Cricetulus griseus: one gene and its partners. The protein of the gene in region 1 interacts with the protein of each later gene in a pairwise test. Links are inferred from orthologs where the notes say so. Each region holds a gene or a part of one and is shown in the gene's direction. Other genes may lie near its edges.

What was found. The genes of interacting proteins can lie anywhere in the genome.
Region 2: the proteins of Tchp (region 1) and Dydc1 interact in binary tests that used the Homo sapiens proteins (3 or more experiments, as listed by UniProt). The two-hybrid records come from large-scale screens. The link is inferred for Cricetulus griseus from reciprocal best matches to the Homo sapiens genes TCHP and DYDC1.
Region 3: the proteins of Tchp (region 1) and Nab2 interact in binary tests that used the Homo sapiens proteins (3 or more experiments, as listed by UniProt). The two-hybrid records come from large-scale screens. The link is inferred for Cricetulus griseus from reciprocal best matches to the Homo sapiens genes TCHP and NAB2.

Annotation. Positions count from the first base shown.
Region 1 is NC_048597.1:94,317,556-94,322,426, forward strand, and holds the start of Tchp (trichoplein keratin filament-binding protein), read left to right. Parts: upstream 1-1,648; 5' UTR 1,649-1,793; intron 1,794-2,390; exon of another isoform or gene 2,391-2,425; coding exon 2,426-2,619; intron 2,620-2,964; coding exon 2,965-3,175; intron 3,176-4,871. UniProt on the Homo sapiens protein: Tumor suppressor which has the ability to inhibit cell growth and be pro-apoptotic during cell stress. Inhibits cell growth in bladder and prostate cancer cells by a down-regulation of HSPB1 by inhibiting its phosphorylation.
Region 2 is NW_023276807.1:179,044,705-179,049,580, reverse strand, and holds the start of Dydc1 (DPY30 domain-containing protein 1), read left to right. Parts: upstream 1-1,508; coding exon 1,509-1,655; intron 1,656-2,100; coding exon 2,101-2,202; intron 2,203-4,876. UniProt on the Homo sapiens protein: Functions as part of axonemal radial spoke complexes that play an important part in the motility of sperm and cilia. Plays a crucial role during acrosome biogenesis.
Region 3 is NW_023276806.1:130,077,615-130,082,491, forward strand, and holds the start of Nab2 (NGFI-A-binding protein 2), read left to right. Parts: upstream 1-1,509; 5' UTR 1,510-1,919; coding exon 1,920-2,002; intron 2,003-3,354; coding exon 3,355-4,228; intron 4,229-4,623; coding exon 4,624-4,757; intron 4,758-4,877. UniProt on the Homo sapiens protein: Acts as a transcriptional repressor for zinc finger transcription factors EGR1 and EGR2. Isoform 2 lacks repression ability.

The DNA of each region.
Region 1 (4,871 bases):
AGCATCTGGCAAGTCTCTGTTATACTTTAATCATTGATTCAGGTAAAATCTTATCCTTCTCAAGAACTCTGATGCTTTTGACGACTGGCAGTCTTGCCAGCTTAAAGCAAAACAGATTCCAGGAACAGGTATTTTAGGGTTTATCTATGTGAAGATAGAAAAGTGTAAAAGAATGAAATATGTTCCTGATTTCTCTATTTCTCATGCTACTGTTCATAGTAAAGTTCAACAATACCACTATAGGAACATAACTACAAGGTCAAGATTAAGATGCTTTTCATGGTCCCCCCAAAAAAATCTGTCTATTTTTAAATGGTAATACTTTCAGCCAAGTTGCTTCTAACATGAATATGCTTCTAACATGTCTAATACTTATGTTTCCACAAACTCTAAGGATTCTTGTAAGTTCCAGGGAGCCGAATCAGATCCAAACAGGTCAGATTCACTTCATGTAATATTCAACCTTTCCCCGGTCCCAAATTCCCTTCATTCATCTTGGGACTCCTCAGGAACCCCTCCCTCATCTTACAATCTTCCCCTCAAGTGACAGGATCTAAGAAAAAATTTTTTTCTAAACTTAACCTTGTCCTCTGCTCTGTCAACATCTTGCCAGGTCTAAGAGGCATCAGGGAGTTCCATACAGCCTGGACTTCAATGAAACAACCAGCTTCCCCAGGACGTGGCAGCACCCCAACCTTCTCGGGTCCCCCAAAGATGGTCAACGCCCCCCACATCAGCAGGAAGCAGTCTTGAGAATTCGACGCCCTTATTCCTTAACCTGCCATGTCTAACACCCCACCTTTTTAAAATAATAAGTAGAGGTGGGAATGAAAGGTTCAGGCATTATGCTGGCCTGCTCCTGTTACCTGGTGGAACAGGCAGTACCCTGGTCAGCCCAAGATTCCATGGGAACTAAGTCTGCACGCAGATACAGAGGACCCCTTTAAAAGGACAGGTCCCTGCCCATTTATGCTCTCTGTTTCCTCTCTGTTTCCCCACTCTGCTTTGTCTCTGCTTTCTCTCTACTCTGTCTCCCACCTATGCTCTCTCTCTGTCTCTCTATGGTGACCGACCATGGCAGTCAGCCATTACCCTGTTCCTCTTCTCTTAGTCTCCCTACTCTGCCGGGCCTTATAATAAACTTATAGTCTTATGTCTCATGTCTCAGCATTCTGGGTGCTGGGTGCTGGGGATTGTGAGTTCAGAGCTTTGCACTTGCTAAGCACACACAATCGCGGAGTTCCCCAGCCCTGCTTTTTTAAAAATGGAATAGTTAATGCATAAATACGTGCAATCATGTGAGTTACAGTTATTAAAACCTCTGTACCCACCAGTAATCCAAGACATCAGTAGGAATTTACCAAAGACTTGTAATTACCCAGACCAGCTGTTACTGGCCTCTGCTGCCTACCGGGCAACACCCAGGGAGCACTGAAAATCATTTCTTTTTCCCTCGGGGCGTCTCCCTGGATGATTTTGATGTGCCCTATTTGAGAAACATGGGCTTAATTCTCCTCTCTCCTATTCCCTTGGTTTTCACCCCCACCCCGGGGACCGCCACCCTGACTCTGGGTCATGACTCACTCTGGCACCTAGCGACACTTGCTGTCGATTTTCCTCCTACCGCGAGGGGGCGCCAGAACAACAACTTCCCTTCTTTTTCCTGGTGAGCGGCTGCGTCGTGCAGGAGGTACTTTGGCCTTCGCGGCCTCCGTCGTCCCGCGGGCTGCCGGGCAACCGAAGGGGAAACGGCTGGCGTCGCTGCCGCTGGCGCCACAGAACTCTCGGATCTGGTGAGCGCGTGCTCGGGCTTAGGCCGGAGCCTCTTCTTGGAGAACTTGGGGTGCAGGGAAACACAAGTCAGAGGCTAGGCTGGGCCGAGACGTCCGCTGTCTTCGCTGGTCGGAGGTCTCCGGACACCGGATGGGGTGCATGTCCGGTGCTCGCACACACTGATAACTAAGTCATCGCCTTTAGTTACTTTTGTTGCTCTGGGGACAGGGCTTCCTGTTTTGCCCAGATTGGCTTTGAACTCCTGGACTCAAGTGATCTCGTCCTGCTTCGGCCTCCAAAGTCCTTGGGGCTGCTGGGGCCTGCCGCGGAGCCCTGCTTGCCCCTGTCATTTTATGCCTTTCCCGGCCTTGTCAGGAAGATGTCTGTGTCGGTAACGTCCCTGATAATGGCTGGCTCGCTGCCGGGCACAGTCCAGGTTCATTTAATTTGATAATTTGCAGCCTCAGTGGCACATCATTTAAAACGTGCGGGCCTGGGCCTCGTTGTAAAGTTTTGGGTGGCAATGTGGATCCTAAAGCTGTTATAAAGGTGCAGCCAAAGGGCGAGCGCCCTCGTAAAAGACAGGAGACCATCCAAGTAAGTTCCTGAGTTTGCAGCTGGCTTCGATTCTGCCCGCTGATGTCCCCTTCAGATGGCGCTCCCCACGCTGCCCTCTTATTGGCTCACCCGGAGACCCCTGGACAAGAAGGTAGCACGCCAACGCCAGCAAGAGCAGGAGGCCCAGCTTCGCCAGCAGTGGGAGCAGAACAGCCGTTATTTCAAGACTACGGACATCCACAGCTCCAAACTGGCCGAATGGAGTTCCAAGACCTCCTACCAAAGGAGGCAAGTATCAATGTCCTGCCTGCTGATTCCTACCATTAGCTGCTGGGGGCATGTGGCCTCAGGGCCTAAGTACTGTGGCTTGTGACAGCATGAGTAATCTATATGGTGATGCTATTCTAGCTGGAAATGGGGTGGTGTGTGTGTGTGTGTGTGTGTGTGTGTGTGTGTGTGTGTGTGTGTGTGTGTAGAATAACCAGTGAAATAACATGCATTTTGAAAGATAAAATCTATCAGTCATCTTTTCTGTAGGTGTTTGTGTTTAAATACCCGCCCCCCAACATATATAGAAATGCATATGAAACTGTGGCCTGGGTGTGGCTGATTCTCAGTGGGCTCCTTACCTAGCATGAACGCCTACCATCGTGAGAAGATGAAGGAGGAGAAGAGGATGAGTCTGGAAGCCCGCCGTGAGAGACTCAGGCAGCTTGTGCTGGAGGAGCAGGACCTGCTGGCCGCTGAGCTGGAAGAGCTGAGGTTGAATGTGAACCTGCAGGAACGAAAAATCAGGGAACAGCACAAGGATCTGAAGTCAGCCCGAGAAGAACGAAGGAAACTGGTAACCAGCCTAGACCCAAACAAGGTTGCAGAGTGGGAGTGTCTGAAGGCTGAACTGACCGTTGCATCTGTGGGGTTATTCTTGGGTGCCTTGGTCAGATGAGTTGGCCAGATGATTCTAAGAGTCCATGGGGAAAGCACTTTATTTATTTAGGGAGAAAAAGTCTATTTTAGCTCTTGGCTTTAGATGGTCTCAAGCCATTAGAAGTAGGGTTTGGTTTATAACATTCAATGACATGCCGGGGGGGGGGGGCTGCTTCCTCGAGCTAATTCCTCACCACTAAAGGCACCCAGGCTCCTCTGAATAGTGCCACCAGCTGGGGAGCAATTATTTTTGCTGTTGGTTTTTTGTTGCTGTTTTGAACGTGTCTCACCATGTAGTCCTGGTTTGCCTGGAACTTTCTTTGTAGACCAGCCTGACCTCAAAGTCACAGAGACCTGGCTGCCTCTGACTTCCTCATGCTGGGATGAAAGGTGAATAACGTGCCTGGCTGAGGGCAAGCATTTAAAATGTGAGCCTGTGATCAGAACCAGATATGGTAGAATGTTAAGGATTTGCCGGAGGTGGGGAGGACAGCTATGTTTTTTTCTGAGACAGGGTTTCTCTGTGAAGCTGTGGTGATGTATCATTTATGTTTAATAAAGATTGCCTGAAGTATCAGAAAGCAAAGCCAGACCACTATTTAGCTGTAGAAGCCAAGCAGTGGTGGTACACACCTTTGATCCCAGGACTCAGGAGATAGGCAAGTTGATCTCTCTGAGTTCAAGGCCACCCTGGCCTACATAAGAGTGAAGAGTAACAGAGCTCTCATGCCTTAGATCCCAGCACTTGAGATCACATGTCTTTAATCCCAGCCCTAGAGAGGTTTATAAAAGACAGGAGCCCAGTGTCTCAGGCTGAATTCTGAGGTTTATTCTCCAGCCACGCTGAGGAGAGGCAGCAGTCTGAGGCTTGGTGAAGAGTTCCTGGAGACAGGACAGCCCTTTCAACCTGAGGTAGAGCTAAGAGCTAATGACTGGCTTTGCTTTCTCTACCTACGACACTTTTTATTAAATCATAAATAATGTATCACCACCACATGTAGCCCTGGCTGTCCTGGAACCCGCTGTGTAGACCAGGCTGGCCTCAAACTCAAAGATCCACCTGCCTCTGCCTCCCAAATGCTGGGATTAAAGGTGTGTGATGGCTAACATCTGGTTTTCTTTCTGTAAGAATGGAGTTAATACTGGCCACAGAACAGGGTGAATGAGTTTGCCAGCAAGAGTGAGGGCCGACAAAAAGCCAGGGCCCACTCTTAAGTGTCTTTACAGGGAGTGTTTGATATGTGGTAGCTCCCTTCTCTGCCTTACAAATCACTACAAGTGATTCCTCCTTCCTGTGCTCAGTTCTGTGGTTCCACAAAGGTCTGGGAACACTGTATTTTATCTTCAAGTGGCTATGGTAACTAGCCTCAGTCTGTGTGTTTCAACTTGCTATGGACTTGGAAACTCCTAGAAGGAAGCCAGCCATAGCATCAGATTTTAGCTAGCTCTTGGTCCATTCTGCTCAGATATCCTGTCCCCAGACTTGTGTGTAAGGAAAGCAGACTTGAGTGACAGATGTGTTGACATTGCTGAATGGAGGTCATGACCTCAGCTGACTTCTATTGGCTTTGTCTAGGTGAATGGATTTGAACATCGATGTATGGTGTTCTTCT
Region 2 (4,876 bases), on another chromosome or scaffold:
CAGTTTTAATTTTGTATTTACTGATTTGTCTTTAATATTCATCTCCCCTACTTTTCTCCATGCCACCATGGATATCAGAGGTAGTCTGTAGGTCTAAATGCAGATGTTTAGAAGGCAACTGACAGACAGATTACATACGTTTAACAAAGCAATATTAGTAAACTTCTCACTGGAACATATATTCTTACCGTAGCTTCTGTGGGCAATCCCAATAAATACACTGGGTTACAATTCTGAGCTTGAGTAGAATCATATGTTCAGTCTTTTATCCTTCTGGGGTAAATAGAAATAGTCAACCCAGAAGGAGCCATGCAACAATGTTCATATCTGAAAAGACTGGGAAACAGCTGGGAGTGGGCACAAACTTGCTCAGTGCTGTTAGCCCTGTGACCAAAATACTCCTTGGGAACCTAGAGGGGTCTGTCTTCTAGAAGAAAGACAAGCATAGGTGCATGGTATGCCTACATGCATGCATGTTCTCTCTCTCTCTCTCTCTCATCTCAGGCAGCATGATGAAGGCTGTATGAACTACTTGAAGCAGGAGGAACCTTCTTGTACTGGTTGAAAAAACTCTTAGAGCTAGAGCTGGTCTGTACCTTGAAGGTGAGGAGCCATGTTCCAACAATAGAGGGAGGATCGTGGAGTTGGAAAAGTGCAGGGTGTGTTGTGTAGAATGGCAGAATATTTGGTAGAGTAAGGGCCTAGGGTGGATGATGACAGGCAGGTGCTTGAGGTAAGCCTAAAGTTTATGGCTAGATTATGAGTAATTGCATGCTGTTTATTGGAATCTGAATTTGTATTCTCTGGCTTTGACAATACATGATTTTTCAGAAGAGATGGACAGTTTGTGATGTTTTATGGAAGTACATAGCAGAAGCATCTTAGAGTCAATAGACTTAAGGTTCTGAGGTCAGGCAGTGGGTACAAACCATACATTCACATGCCAGTCAAGTGCTCTGGACTGTTCACTAAAGCTCTTTGAGTTTGCTTCCCTGTCTGACCATTGCCTGAGATGTTGTGGGCATTAACTGGCACCAGCATTACTTGGCACAATGTGATGAATAACACTAGTGCCCATTTCTGACCCTGGGACTAAACAAGAACTGTCAGGATGTAGTAGCTATTTTCACTATGACTTCTGCAGAGACCTTTTGTAGACCATTTGGAGTTTCCTTGGGCCAGCCTGCTTATTTCATCCTTAATAAGAAATACCCATGACTAGTGACAGAGTGGAATGTTCCGGTAGCCATATATATATATATATGGACAGGGTTTCTCTGGGTACTCTCTGTAGACCTGGAACTCTCTCTGTAGACCAAGAACTCTCTCTATAGACCAAGGTGGCCTTAAGTTCAGAGATCTGCCTGCCCCTACTTGCCTCCATAGTTCAGGGATTATAGATGAATTCCACCACTGCTTAGCTTGACTTTACTTTTAACTCTGCCTATTCAGAACACTTTTGGCTCTAATGAAAAACTTTTATAGATCATTTTATTTAGGAATTAAAAATGGAGTCATCATATCTTCAAAAGTGCCTGGGGACATGCCTGACTCAAGGTCTCGCTGAAGTGGCAAGAGTCCGCCCATTGGATCCAATAGAATATTTAGCCTTGTGGATTTATAAGTACAAGCAAAATGTGATCATGGAGCAATTGGTAAATATGGATCTCCTTTCAGGAAATTAGAAGAGCATGATAATTGGTTCATCTTGTTTACATTTTATGTTCAATATTGTTTTTCCATTACAATAATGTTTATTATATGAAAACTTTGGACAGTATGTGAATGCAGAGAGGAGAGAAAACAGAAAGAAGGCTTCTGTTTTGATTTTAAGTATTTTCAACCCAGTAGTGTCTTTTCCTGACATGTTTGTCTGTAGATTGGTTTCATTTTTCTTTATATTTGATGTATAATCTTAATTGTGTGTTCTTTGTTTGGCTAAATCATAAAAATCCCCCAAATTGTTGTATAGTTTCCAAATGAATAGAGCATTATGTTCTTAGCCCTTCTTTTATTGCTGGTGGTTGAGATGCCTCTGAGACTGTGTTAACAGATTGGTCTCTAATAAGTTGTGTGCTGTTGCTTTTTACCAATTGCTAGAGACAGAAAGAGATGATTGAGTTGGAGCATGAGAGAGAATTAGCACTGATGGAGCAGGAAATGCTGGAGCGACTCAAAGCTGAGGAACTCTTATTTCAGCAGGTAAGACAAGCACTCAAATATGATGGAAGTTAACAGTGTCACCCTTGGTGTGCTACAACCCACATCTGGAAATACTCCCAGGCTCTGGTCATTCAGACATTGCTCCCTAGTATCCCCATCCTTTTTTTTTTTTTTTTTTTTTTTTTTTTTTTTTTTTTTTTTTTTTTTGTGAAGAGACAGTGCCACGAGGAAACAGAACAATTCAGAGAATAGTCAACAGCACCACTGCTGAGCTGGTGCTCATTTATAGCCCAGGCAGTCTCTCCAGGAACAGTGGTGAGTGTGAGGTGTAGAGGGTAAGAAGGGGGATGGTGAGTGAGCATTATGCTTTAACGGGGTTTGTGAGGGGAAGGGAAATGGGTTTTATTTTGATTCAGGAACACATGGAACACGTAATAGAAAAATCGAAAAAACCATCTAAAACCTTCTATCCACTGTAAAAAGAGGCAATGGGCCTGGAAAACAAGTGGATGAACCTTTCTGTTATTGCAGCTCAGAGACAAAGCATAGGTGGCTAGGTGTAGGTGGGTGTATTGGCTTGTGACACAAAGTTGAAAGCTGACTTGGTGTGACTTTATGAGGTAAGAATCAACCAGGACCATATACTTAAGAATCAAGTGATGAGGTAGGAGGGATGGAAAGAATGATGAAGGTCTGAAATAATACCTTAGGAGGATGGAAGGGTAGGTTGTACATCCCTGACCTAAAAAAAAAAGAAACCCAAAACAAGAAATATTTCTAAATATGTAACTTTTTGCGTGCTTACATGGTGTCAAGGAATGGAAAATTACACATCGTTAAACTTTGTTTCACATAGCAAAATGATAAAATGTGGTATTTGATTACTTTCAGTTAGAAGATAAAATATAACTGAATTTCATGTTGTCTTGGGTACCTTACCTGAGTCATCTTACTACAGTCTTAAGCATTTCTGAAACAAGTATGATGTAGTATTTGGAGGCCAAGCATCTGTAGTAGTGCTGCCCACTTGGACCTGTCCTCCTCTACAGCTAGATCTGTCTCTACTGAAGAGAAGCAGGGAGTCTCAGCTGTTCTTCTTTCCCAAGACAATGAGTTCACTATGGGGATATACTTCACAGCCTTTGATGCGTCTACTTCATTCTACTGGAATAAAATTTTAGTTACACTAGAAATTCAACATTTTCATAGCTGTGTTAGCCAGCAAAGCTAATCTTCTGCATGTTGAACCCAAAGCATTTCATTTGCAGGGGGTGTGGAATGTAGGATGACATTCTACAAGAGATGTTATGGTTAGTTAAAGAAGTGGATGGGTGGGCAGAAGTAGATAAGAGAAGGAGAGCTGAACCAACAGAAAAGGGCTTAACAGGGAGTGTGTTGAGATGAGAAGTAGCAGATCATTCTTTTTCTCTTGCTCCCTGAAGTGTTTGAGTTGGAGGCTGAGGATTTGGCTTCTTCCTCGAGGTCATTTACAACTCAGCACTGATGGGTTTCCAAGAGTAATTCATGGACACCTTTGCAGCATCCTCTCCTAAACAAAAGCCAGAGAAAAAGCTGGGCAGGTGGTACACACTTACAATCCCTGTTCTGGGAAGGCAGAGGGAGGAGATCTTAAGTTCTGGCCTAGCCTAGGTTACATAGTGAGACTGTCAAAAATTAAATAGAGTAAGCAAACAAAACTCAACAAAAGCTGAGAGAAAATGCTCAAAAGCATTTGACTTGTTTTTAGTTGACAGCTGATATTGTTCCTAGTGTCAACAAATTGATCAGTGACTAAAAACAAACAAACACAAAAACAAACAAAAATAAAAGAGACATGACTGCTCCTAGGTATGGTGGAGGAGAAAGTTTACGGGGAGAGTATAGCCAGAGGCAGGTACATCAGAGTCCAGAGTGAACATGATCCTGAGCTGGGTCACATGAGGAGAGGGACAAGGGGAGAGCCGGGAGAGTAGAGAGTAAACAAAAAGGGTTTGGTAACCAATATGTCTGGGTTATATAGACAAGGGCATCTGGGGAAAGGGCACCCCAACCCCTGGGCTGGAAAAGTTTAGGAAGTGGGCTATGTCAGCCATACCCTGTAACAGTTAGGGACTGAGGAATACTAGGATAATGTAGTGGCCAGGTCCACTTTGATATGTTAGCAATTGTCCCAGGTTTGAGACCTGACATCCAGCTTTCTTACTAATAGTTTAAGAATAAAACAAAACAAAACAAACAAACAAATTTTGCAGGGTGACACATTTCTTTGAGCATGTAAATCAACACTATTTAAATTAACTCACGCTGGCAAATATCATTCCTTGCCTTGAGAACAAATGAATTCCTTAGATGCTTAATATTTTTTGCAAGCTTGTTTTAATTTTTACGAAGAAATTCTGCAGTGATAAAAGGGATCAATCTTAAATTTTTTATTTTGAACATTTGCTTTCTTTTTAAAATTAAAACATATTATTGTGAGAGTGTATATGTATATGGTTTACACAGAGATGGTGAGCAGAACATGTACACGAATGACCCATACGTGGAGGTCAGAGGGCATCTTTGTGGGGTTGGTTCTCTTCTTCTTTTACATATGTTATGGGGGTTGAACTCAGGTTCTAAGGCTCACTGACAGTGCTTTTACCCACTTAGCTGTCTGATGAATCTTGACCTTTGCTTTCATATGAGTTAAGACTATTGCAATGTGTGCATC
Region 3 (4,877 bases), on another chromosome or scaffold:
CCACCCCAAGGGGACCTGTGGGAGGGAAGGGGGGTGCCTGTAGCAAAAGCAGCGTGGGCGGAGGATGTGCGTCACGGGGAGCGTGGGCAGGGGGAGGGCGGGGGCACGAGGAAACCCGGGACGGCGCTGGCAGCCCAGACTCCAAAATAACCGGACGGGGGAGTGGGGGAAGGGCGCCACACACCCCGAAGGGATCGGGTACCTCCTAGGGAGGCCGTCTGGTCTCGCAGGCAAACGGGGTCGGAAGGAGGCCGGTGCTGCTCCTCCCTACCGCGTTGGGCATTTAACGGGATGAAGACAAAACCCCGGAGTTCTTGAAATCGTTCCCCACTCGAAAAAGAACCCATCCCTCTAACTGGAAACCGAGAGAGATTCCCTGGCCAGTCTGGAATGAATGTGGAATGTAGAACCCGCCCTGGCCCACGCCACCCACGCCCTGGCAGGGCGAGCCACTCACAAGTGCGGAGCCGAGGGGCGGGGCTGGGGCTTGGAACTAAAGGGATGTTGCCTGTGGCCAGTCCGCAGCGTTTCCCACCGCCCTTTTCCCCAAGGCCTGCACGGCCCTGCGTGCCCAGCCCCCCCCCCCCCAGCCCTCCTAGCCGTGGGCGTGTGTAATGGGAACCAGATGGGGCTGGAAGAAACGGAGGGGGCTGGGCTCCTTGAAGGCGCTCCTCCACGGTGGGCTGTCTTGCAGTCTAGTCGTTCACCTTCCCTTACAGGGTGTCCAGAGATGTCCGATGACACACGACCCCAGAAAAACGTAGCCGCCTTTTCCTGCCTTTGCCACCCAATCGTCCAAGCAATAAGGCCTGGTCATCACAAAAAACGGTGCCACGAATAGAGGAAAGCATGGGGTATCCCCATCCCTGCCCTACCTAGCAAACCCCGACGTGCGTGCCTAATGGAGGCCCGAGGAAGTTGTAGCTTCTAGCATAACCCATCTATTAAACTTCGACAACTAGAGACAGGCAGGGAGACGACAAGGTTTCTGGGGGCCGCCTCTTCAAATTACAACTTTTAGGGCCAGAGAAGGGTGGCCAGGCTCGGCAGGAATTCCTGCGAAGCCCCACACCCACAGGTTTTTAACCCTAAGCGTGCATCCTAGGAGGAGGAGAGGAACCTCACACCCGAGCCTTCACCAACTTTTCCCCGCTCACTCCTAGCATTCAAACGAACGGCCAACGGCCGGAGTGCCAGAGTGCCGGAGTTGTGGGCACCGGGCGCCCGCGTCGTTGTTGTTTGGACGCCTGTGTGCACGTAAGTGCGCTTCGGTGTCTTTGTATACTTGTGCGTGGTTGTGAAACCGCGCTCTCGGCTCACAGGGGTAGGAGTGGTGCAGGGAGTAGGAATGTAGCCGGCGGGGTGCTCACGTGGGTACGTGGGCGCAGAGAGGGCCGGCTGTGCATCCGGCGTGGGCGGCATGGAGCGACCTGCCCCGCCCGTTGGGTCTCCAAGCTCCCGCCCTCCACAGCCCGGCCTCGGCCACCTCGGTCCCCAACTTGGCGCCCGACTCTCGAGTCACCGCCTCCGCCTCCTGCTCCACACCTTTCCCCCACCCCCAAGTCTCCTCCTCTCAGTCCCCTCAACAGCCTCTCGGAGGCCTCGGCTCCCACCCCCCGCCTCCGGTCCCAGCCCCCGGTTCTGCCCACGCCCTCCTCCCGCCAGCCCGGCAGCCAGCGCAGCGCCCGGCCTCGCTCCCCGTGCGTCCTGCGGGGGAGGAGGCGCGGAGAGGCGGCAGGCGCAGCCGGGGAGGTGGGGGCAGAGGCACACACAGAGGCGCGGAGGCTCGGAGAGAGGAGACGTGGAGGGAGGGACGGAGCCTGGACAGCGGTGGACGGGGACGCGCGCGCCAGGCAAAGCGCAGCGCTCAGCAGGCGCCGGGAACCGAGAGGGGAGGCTCGGGTGATCTCTGGCCTTCCATGCACAGAGCGCCCTCTCCTACAGCGGAGCAGCCACCTGGCAGAGGGGATAACACCCGCCGGACCCCGCAGCCCCGACTCAAGTTAGTGGGCAAAAGGAGGTGTCGGGGAGTGGAGATGGGTGGAGCTGGACTCGGGAATGGGGTCCGGGAGGGTGGAGGTCTCAAAGAGGACGTGGGGAGGCTGCAAGGGGGTGGGAGGTGGAGACTGATAGAAGAGGGGGTAAGTGTTCGAATTAGGGGACCTTGGGAGCAAACAAAGACCGGATGAACCTGGATACGCTAGAGTACTGCCTCGTTTTCCATTCCAGGCTTGCTCAGTGGGCATGACCTGGCACGTGAGCCCCCTGAAAAGAATGTCCCCAAGCGCCAGGGGAAAGCTCCAGACCTTGATCTGACAACAGTGAGAGGGGTGGGGGCGCTTAGCTGGTTCAGTGTCACTAGAAGGTGGCACCATCCCTAGGTCCGGGTTCTTTTGGGTTAAGGGGCCGTCTTTGGGGCTTGAAGGGGGCGTGCTTCAGGCGCCCCTTCTCATTAAATGACCACAGCGTAAGGAGGGGTAGTTTCCCCTTGGCAGCCCCTTCCTCAGGAGGCCTTCAGCCGCTCCCTCACTCCCTTTCAGAAGATTAGGGTGGAAAATAAGGGAGACGAGAGTAGGCGGGAGCCCCCAGGCGGTTTTCGCCCACAGACGCTGCCACTGTAGGAGTGTGTGGGAAGAAGGGCCCCGGAGCAGAACAATCAAAGCTTCCCTCCCCCATTGCCTGAGAAGAAGAGAGGGGCTTGCTGAATAGTGGGGAGGGCCACATGAAGGGAGGGGGGCAACTGGAGGGTACCGGGCAGCCTGGAAAGTTGAGACAGATACTCGGAGGGTTTGGTAACTTCTAATCTCAGAAAACTGAGAGCAGAGGCGCCAAAGGTCCAATAGGTTCACTGAAAAGCCAAGGAAGAGGCCACACCCCTTCCTCTCAGCTACCTGGGCAAGGAGTAGCCCCTCGTTTCCTAAGTTAACTTTAATGTGGGATGTTACATGCATAACGTTGAGGCTGCTGAGTGGGGGAGGGGGAAGGACTGTAATTTTGGGTAAAGTGGGTCTAGCCATTTCAGGGAAGTGCTAGTGGGCCTTCCGTGTTCAAGGTTGTGCTGCCCCAGACCAGAAAGATCAAAGCAAAAGATGAGGTAAGGGGTTTCCCGACAGCTGTAGATAGGGCACTGGTTTTCGGTGCTTCTGGCTAGTCTGAGATTGCCGGCATGGGCACGGCTATGCCTCTGAGCAATACTCAGTTCTCAGAGTACTCGGCCTTGGGCACTGGGCAGAGAAGGCATTCAAAAGAGAAGGGATGAGGAGGAGGAGGCAGAAAAGAGAGGAGAATTGTTAGTGTGGGTTGGTACCCAGCAGGGCACTTGTACTCACTGCCTCTCCTGCCCTTCCTTCTCAGGGCAAGTGCCTCGACCATGGCACTGCCTCGAACGCTGGGTGAGCTGCAGCTGTATCGGGTCCTGCAGCGTGCCAACCTCCTTTCCTACTACGAGACCTTCATCCAGCAGGGAGGGGACGATGTGCAGCAGCTGTGTGAAGCCGGTGAGGAGGAGTTTCTGGAAATCATGGCACTTGTGGGCATGGCCACCAAACCACTCCATGTCCGACGTCTACAGAAGGCTCTGAGAGAGTGGGCCACCAACCCAGGGCTCTTCAGCCAGCCAGTGCCTGCTGTACCCGTCTCCAGCATCCCACTTTTCAAGATCTCTGAGACGGCGGGTACTCGGAAAGGGAGCATGAGCAATGGGCACGGCAGCCCGGGAGAAAAGGCAGGCAGTGCCCGAAGTTTTAGTCCCAAGAGTCCCCTTGAACTTGGAGAGAAGCTGTCACCGCTTCCTGGAGGACCTGGAGCAGGGGATCCCCGGATCTGGCCGGGCCAGAGTACTCCAGAATCTGACGTTGGAGCAGGCGGAGAAGAGGAGGCTGGGTCACCCCCTTTCTCCCCACCTGCATCGGGAGGAGTCCCCGAGGGGACTGGGGCGGTGGGGATGGCTGCCGGTGGGACTGGGGGTGGTCCAGACCGCCTGGAACCGGAAATGGTACGGATGGTGGTAGAGAGTGTGGAGAGGATCTTCCGGAGTTTCCCCAGGGGTGATGCTGGAGAGGTCACATCCCTGCTGAAGCTGAATAAGAAGCTGGCGCGGAGTGTGGGCCACATCTTTGAGATGGATGACAACGACAGCCAGAAAGAAGAGGAGATCCGGAAGTACAGCATCATCTATGGCCGCCTGGACTCCAAGCGGCGCGAGGGCAAGCAGCTCAGCTTGCATGAGGTGAGGGCCCAGGTTCTCAGGACTGCCCTTAACTTCTGGAGTTCAGTCGATTGGCCCCTGGGAATTCTTGCATCCTCAAACTCTGGATCATTGTCCCCTTGGCCACCCGAGTTCCATGCACGCACACACTCCCAGCCCCAGCTGCTGTTGTACCTCCACCAGCTGAAGGGCAAGCTGAGATGGCAGTGAGCCCAACTGTCCAGCTGCTGAAGTCCCCTCAGATACAGAGGAGGTCCTGGTTGGGACGCTATGAGTCCCTCCCGTCTAACCTTCGGGATGTTCCTGGGTTTTATTTAAAGCTAGCATCCCTTGGATGGGCTCCCCCTCCCCCCTGGCGGTGAAGGGGTGAAACAGTAGGAGAATCGGCATTCACACTGGCTGTCCTCTTGCCACAGCTGACCATCAACGAGGCTGCTGCCCAGTTCTGCATGAGGGACAACACACTTTTACTTCGAAGGGTAGAACTCTTCTCATTGTCCCGCCAAGTAGCCCGAGAGAGCACCTATCTTTCCTCCTTGAAGGGATCCAGGTGAGACCCCCCCCCCTTCCCTGGGCCACCTTTGGTTGGAATCCTGCCAGAGTTGGACATCTCCTCACTTGCAGCTCAGGCAATTCCAGGCCTGCTTCCCACCTACCTGCATGTCTTCCT